Saccharomyces cerevisiae S288C: one gene and its partner. Changing the gene in region 2 together with the main gene of any one other region gives a genetic interaction. Each region holds a gene or a part of one and is shown on either strand. Other genes may lie near its edges.

Region 1 (3,758 bases), on a different chromosome or scaffold from region 2:
TAAAACACTTTCTATTTGGTTAATGACCAACGAGGAAGTTTGTAGCTTCAACACAACTTTAGATCATGTAATAAACGGCATATGCTTTTAAATGCTTTGTTTTGTTTTTTTCTTTTTTTCCCGCTGTGACAGAAACAATTAAGTTGCGTTAAAAAGGTTCCCTGATAGAAATAAATACGGCTAAATTAAATAAACTACTACATAATCCTACAACATCAAATGCCTGTAGATCAAGAAAAATTAGCTAAGCTGCACAAGTTATCAGCAGCAAACAAAGTTGGTGGTACCAGAAGGAAAATAAACAAGAAAGGTAATTTATATAATAACAATGACAAGGATAATACCAAGTTACAAGCTGAACTTCATAAACTGCATCCAATGACCATTGAAAACGTTGCCGAAGCAAATTTTTTCAAAAAGAATGGCAAGGTTTTACATTTTAACAGTGCAGTTGTACAGATTGCCCCTCAATGCAATCTCACAATGATTCATGGCCAACCGAAAGAGAATACACTTAATGGGCTGTATCCGAGCGTAGCCTCTCAATTAGGTAGCCAAGAACTTGAGTATTTGACAGGTTTGGCTCATAACCTAGAAAATGAACAGACGGTGCTCGACCAGCTGGGCGACAGATGCAGCGAGACAAAACAACAAGTGATGAATAGCTGACATAGTTCATAATAATTGCCAGTAAACGTTATAGCTAGTGGCGAATGTCGAAGTGGAAATGCTATCACATTAATGTTGCAGATGAATATATATTTTCTTATTTGAGAAGATACACGCTATTTACTCTTTCAGCCATTACTGCTACCATTGTGGTTGTTATCTTGACGATGAACGATGTTGGATTGCTTGACTTTTTTCAGTAATTCATTGATACCCTCACCACCCGCAGTTAGTAATTTAGTCCTGTTTCTCCTACATGTCAGTGTATCATAATGTCTTTTCAATGCATCTTTCCTTGCAAAACCTTTGCCACATTGAGGACAAATGTTAGGCAATATGGCGAAGTGTGTCTTTTCGTGCCTTCTCAAATCTGATGATCTTGAAAATTCCAACGAACATTTCGCACATTTAAATCTTTTTTCACCAGTACTATTTCTACGATCTTGGGGTTTGCTTTTGCTGGACTTCGGTGGTTTTGGTAATGCGTTTTCCTTTTTAACCTTTATGTTACCGCCTTGACTATTTATATCAACACCATTTTCTGCCGGTATGAGTGCTGGTTTTTTATTTTGTAACCTGTTTTGCCTATTCCTTACCCTTTCTAATAACTCTTTTATTATAGGATCTATGTTATCTATATTTAATGATACATCCACTATTGCTTCTGTAGCCTGTTTGATAAATGCAGCATCCTGATCCTCCATTTGGTACTTTTTTGAAATTTATAATACCTCTTGACTTTTTTCCACTATATTATTAACAAATTCTTGGCATATGACATGAAACCCTATTCAATTATCCAGATGCATACATATATACCATGGATAGATATGTATATCTACTATATCTATATATACCTCGTCAATGTAATGAGGAAAGTTCCGAGGGCGACAAAGAGAACAAATATAGTTTTATTTATAATAATGATACAGAACTCAAGATTATTTCCTGCTTATTTTAAACTAAAAGTATAGCAAGTTCTAACCCACAATCAGGTTCTTTATTATTGTCAAGAAAATATAAACTGTGGCGTACTAAGCGTACTAAGTAAGGGACGAAAAACCATCACAAAATGTCACGTGCATGTTAGTCCAGTCGGGCAATAGATAGGGACTGTAAATTAAAGTTTATATTGAAATAAACAAAGGTAAATGGTAAAAGATTAGAAGCATAGAAAGCATCTGGCGTTATTTTAGCGGGGAAAGATTTTGGTGGATACTATCTTTGACTAGTATATTTGAGTAGCAATTAATGTCTAACGAATTACGGCTTGAAGATAACTATGTACCAACTTCCGACACACTAGTAGTTTTCAAACAATTGATGAAGCTGCCGGTAACGGTATTATATGATCTTACGCTATCATGGTTCGCAAAATTCGGTGGGTCATTTGATGGTGACATATATTTATTGACAGAAACATTAGACTTACTGATTGAGAAAGGCGTGAGGCGAAATGTTATAGTAAATAGGATATTATACGTATACTGGCCGGATGGCCTGAATGTTTTCCAATTAGCAGAAATAGATTGCCATTTAATGATAAGTAAACCAGAGAAATTTAAGTGGCTTCCATCAAAAGCTTTACGGGGAGATGGGAAACCTTACGTAGTAAAGCTCCAACCTGCCAAATTTATAGAAAATTTACAAACAGATCTAGCGAAAATTTACCATTGTCATGTTTACATGTTTAAACATCCCTCTTTGCCAGTGTTAATTACCAGAATACAGCTATTTGACAGCAATAATTTATTTTTGAGTACGCCTAATATAGGGAGTATAAATAAAGAGTCTCTTTACAACAAGTTAGACAAATTCCAAGGGAAACCATTAATATCAAGGAGACCATATTACGTTGCATTCCCGCTAAATTCTCCAATAATTTTCCATTCAGTTGACAAGGATATTTATGCTAGACTAGTTTTGCAGAGCATTAGTCGAACGATATCAGAAAGAGAAACAATCATCTTCAAACCGGTACAGAAAATACCCGTGAAATCAATACATAATATAATGACTTTATTAGGACCTTCGAGATTTGCGGAGTCTATGGGCCCATGGGAATGTTATGCTAGTGCTAACTTTGAACGGTCACCACTACACGACTACAAAAAGCACCAAGGCCTTACTGGTAAAAAGGTAATGGTTAGAGAATTTGATGATTCTTTCTTAAATGACGATGAGAATTTTTACGGAAAAGAAGAACCTGAAATTAGACGACTAAGGTTAGAGAAAAACATGATCAAATTCAAAGGTTCAGCAAACGGCGTAATGGATCAGAAATATAATGATTTGAAAGAATTTAACGAACATGTCCACAATATTAGGAATGGAAAGAAAAATGAAGATTCTGGTGAGCCAGTGTACATTTCTAGATACAGTTCCTTAGTTCCTATTGAAAAAGTTGGATTCACTTTAAAAAACGAAATAAACAGTAGAATAATTACCATAAAATTGAAATTTAATGGTAATGATATTTTTGGGGGATTACACGAACTATGCGATAAAAATTTAATAAATATTGATAAAGTTCCTGGGTGGTTGGCTGGAGAAAATGGATCGTTCTCAGGAACGATAATGAATGGAGATTTTCAGCGAGAGCAGGTTGCTAAAGGTGGTTTACTGTAGAAAACTACTGTGTTCTGTTATCGCTTCCAATAAAAAAAAAAAAAAAAAACCTATGCAAAAATTTCAGTCAAAGCATAACAAAACGAACCTTTTTTGTACTGCTCATTGAAGTATTTACGGGGCAGTATGGGCACTTGAAAGTAATTGTTCCGTTCTTCGATAATCTGTCTAGCGCCTTTTTAGAAATGATGTGATGGCATGCCAGTGAATAAGGAGGATTTTCTGTAGTGGTTTCCTCCTTTAAGACGGGACAGATGAAGATCGGATGGAAATGAGTCAGAAAATCTGGTAACTTGACATCAAATGGCAACTCATCTTTCGTAGTCCAGTCAACGTGCGCTAACTCCCTGATGGTTTTGTATTTGATGAAAAATTGGAAAGAAATTAAACCACTCAATACTATCAAAAACAAGGGAGAGTCAAAGAAAATATGTTTTGCAGCACAATATTCTTTTATAAAT
Region 2 (3,758 bases):
CGTTGGCGAAGATATTTGCTCAACCATTTAAGAAGCTAAGTTATAACATGGAAGATTTCTTAGACTGGAACTATGATTCTTTGCTCAATGCAGAATCTTCAAGAAAGTTGAAGACACTTCCTACGTTAGAATTTGAGGCTTTCACAAACGTTTTTGATAATGAAGACGGCGATAGCGAAGCGTCATCCCAAGGTAACGTCTACTTGCCTGGGGTAGCATGGTGAAAGCGAAGATGAACAACGAAGTTTTAAAAGTGTGTATATATACATTTATATCAACAGAGTCATCGATTTCCCTTGTTTGAGATGTAAAAAAAAAAAAAAATAGAAAATAGTAAGTCCCTGTTATCAATTTTGCCTAGGAAAAAAACCTGGGTCAAAAATAAATGGTCTCTAGCGGGATCGAACCGCTGATCCCCGCGTTATTAGCACGGTGCCTTAACCAACTGGGCCAAGAGACCATTCTATTGTTGAAGATTGTTTAATTTAGATAAACTTTCATAATGTTGAGAATTGCTTATTGCGATATATAAAGTTGAACCAAAGATCAATTTCTTTTTATGTATTGTAGAGAATTACAATTTGAAAAAGAGCTAAGGGAAATTGCTATATTCTAAAAGAAGTGCACAAGTACATTACCTTGAATTTTTATATTTATTCATGATATATTAATATTAATATATCGATGGTGAAGGACACCACACCTGTATTTCTTTGATTGAAAACAATTTTGTAACATTGGCTGCAAAAGTTTTTGCAATTGATATGAAACTATATGATAATATAGAATGCAAACAAAATTCAATTGCAAGGAGGAGGGAAGATATAGGGCCCCTTTCTCGCTTGACATAGACTAAATAATATACAGTTTTTATTTCTTTATTTTTTTTCTTCTTTTGACATGAACATGTTGATTATTCATTGTCGCTTCCTGCGGCAGCTTTAACTAAATCCAAAAATTTTTCTTTGGAAACTTCAGTGATCAATTCTTTCTTTTCTTCTTTATTCTTAATTTCGCTTAAATTTTCGGATACTTCCTTTTCTGTCTTGACTTGAGTTGCTAAAATGGCGTTAAATAATTTCACGGCACCTTTTTGAGCTATCTTTCTGAGCGCTGTCTCCTTCTCAAGGACTTTTCTAATATTTTCTGACCTGTCTTCTCCGGAAGCAATTGGAATAATATCCGTCTTTCTGGCTTTACCTAATAACTTTTTTTTTTCTGCCAACAATGCTTTTTTGGCCTTGTATTCTAGCTTTTCTGACTCACTTTGCTTCAGCACCTTTTTGTTTCTAGCCATGATGGGGTCCTTCCTGTCGTATGCTTTCAGATGTGATGATAAAATAGCATTTACTGCAGCAGAAAATCCAGTAGAACCATCATCATGTTTGCTGTTTTTCGATTTTTTCTTTCTTGGGAAGTCGTCGTCCTCTTCTTCTTCATCATCATCTTCTTCAGCATCACTTTGTTCGTTATCTATAATTTTAGATGATTCATCGCTAGAGCTATTCTGCTCGTCTTCTTCGGCTTCATCACCTTCCATTATTGTATCTTTTTCCGGCTCATTACTTAACTCTTGGTTGCCACTATTCCTTTTTTCACGCCCAAATTCTGCATTCTTTCTGGTTCTTTTCTTATCCTTAGTGTCTACTCTGTGCTTGGAGCCCATGATCAATTATGTACTGATTTTCCTTCGGCTTCTCTATCGCTTTATTCATAGCATCTGTTTATTACCTTTCCTTATATCTTATGGGCATCGAATCCTAGATTTTTTTCTTTCAAAATTTTCCAATAAGAGGGTAATGGAGATACACCAAAATGAATCTCAAACAAAATCAAAACAAACACTGTTTACAATTTGATGCGCCTCGAATCAAAATATGATGATGAGTATTACAGCTAAAAAAATTATCGAATATTATATAAGCATTAAAGCTATCAATTTTTCCGCTCTTTGTGTTTCTTATTATTCTATTTGAATATACCAGAACAACTATCCGGAGTCTTTGTTTAAAAAAGGTAGATTTTGAAATAAAGGACTTAGAGAAATTCTGGCAACTATTAAACTATGGAATCACTTCCACGTACTCCCACAAAAGGCAGATCTACGCAGCATCTCTCGACACCATCGCCGAAGAATGATATTTTAGCTATGAATGGCCACAAAAGAAGAAATACAACAACTCCACCGCCTAAGCACACTCTTCTGAAGCCGCAACGTACGGATATTCATAGACACTCATTAGCTAGTCAGAGTCGCATATCCATGTCACCTAATCGCGAGCTTTTAAAGAATTATAAAGGTACAGCAAATTTGATTTATGGAAACCAGAAAAGCAACTCCGGTGTAACTTCCTTTTATAAAGAAAATGTTAATGAACTCAATAGAACACAAGCAATCTTATTTGAGAAAAAGGCAACACTAGATTTACTCAAAGATGAACTAACAGAAACGAAAGAGAAAATCAATGCCGTTAATCTCAAATTTGAAACCCTTCGTGAAGAAAAGATAAAAATTGAACAGCAACTGAATTTGAAAAACAATGAACTTATCTCGATTAAAGAAGAATTTTTGTCAAAGAAGCAGTTCATGAATGAAGGACATGAAATACATTTAAAGCAGCTAGCGGCATCTAATAAAAAAGAGCTGAAACAAATGGAAAATGAATACAAAACAAAAATTGAGAAATTGAAATTTATGAAGATTAAACAGTTTGAAAATGAAAGAGCGTCGCTTTTAGATAAAATAGAAGAGGTAAGAAATAAAATCACCATGAACCCTTCCACTTTACAGGAAATGTTGAACGATGTTGAACAAAAGCATATGCTTGAAAAAGAAGAATGGCTTACAGAGTACCAATCGCAGTGGAAAAAGGATATAGAGCTGAATAATAAACATATGCAAGAAATCGAAAGCATAAAAAAGGAAATCGAAAATACATTAAAACCTGAGTTGGCAGAAAAAAAGAAGCTCTTAACAGAAAAGCGTAACGCGTATGAAGCTATCAAAGTAAAAGTTAAAGAAAAGGAAGAGGAAACTACAAGGCTGAGAGATGAGGTGGCATTAAAACAGAAAACTAATTTAGAAACTTTGGAAAAGATCAAAGAACTTGAGGAATATATAAAAGACACTGAACTGGGTATGAAGGAGTTGAATGAAATTCTGATTAAAGAGGAAACGGTTAGACGCACATTGCATAATGAGTTACAAGAGTTAAGAGGAAATATACGAGTTTATTGTAGGATTCGTCCAGCTCTAAAAAATTTGGAAAATTCTGATACTAGCCTTATTAATGTTAATGAATTTGATGACAATAGTGGTGTTCAATCTATGGAAGTGACGAAAATACAAAACACAGCGCAAGTGCATGAATTCAAATTTGATAAAATATTTGATCAACAGGATACAAATGTGGATGTTTTTAAAGAAGTTGGTCAGTTAGTGCAAAGTTCATTAGATGGATATAATGTTTGTATCTTCGCATACGGACAAACAGGATCTGGGAAAACTTTCACGATGTTAAATCCAGGTGATGGTATCATTCCGTCCACAATATCTCATATATTTAACTGGATCAATAAATTAAAGACAAAAGGATGGGATTATAAAGTTAACTGCGAATTCATTGAGATCTACAACGAGAACATCGTAGACTTATTGAGAAGTGATAATAATAATAAAGAAGACACAAGCATTGGCTTAAAGCACGAAATACGTCATGATCAGGAAACTAAGACTACCACGATAACGAATGTTACGA

Evidence for each region. A genetic interaction does not mean that the proteins touch.
Region 1: mutations in KAR3 (region 2) and CHL4 together harm fitness more than expected from each alone (negative genetic interaction), as found in Saccharomyces cerevisiae (6 studies listed by BioGRID, with this or other methods).

The regions. Positions count from the first base shown.
Region 1 is NC_001136.10:963,193-966,950, forward strand, and holds CHL4 (Chl4p), read left to right. Parts: upstream 1-1,920; coding exon 1,921-3,297; downstream 3,298-3,758. Other genes in the region: CCR4-NOT core subunit BTT1, read left to right, coding at 220-669; MET32 (Met32p), read right to left, coding at 798-1,373; ubiquitin-protein ligase RMD5, read right to left, coding at 3,365-3,758. UniProt on the Saccharomyces cerevisiae protein: Component of the kinetochore, a multiprotein complex that assembles on centromeric DNA and attaches chromosomes to spindle microtubules, mediating chromosome segregation and sister chromatid segregation during meiosis and mitosis.
Region 2 is NC_001148.4:816,231-819,988, reverse strand, and holds the start of KAR3 (Kar3p), read left to right. Parts: upstream 1-2,065; coding exon 2,066-3,758. Other genes in the region: ribosome biosynthesis protein NOC4, read left to right, coding at 1-224; rRNA-processing protein RRP15, read right to left, coding at 914-1,666. UniProt on the Saccharomyces cerevisiae protein: Minus end-directed microtubule (MT) motor involved in spindle midzone assembly, poleward transport of newly captured kinetochores along the lateral side of MTs, karyogamy (nuclear fusion) during mating, and with an essential function in meiosis I.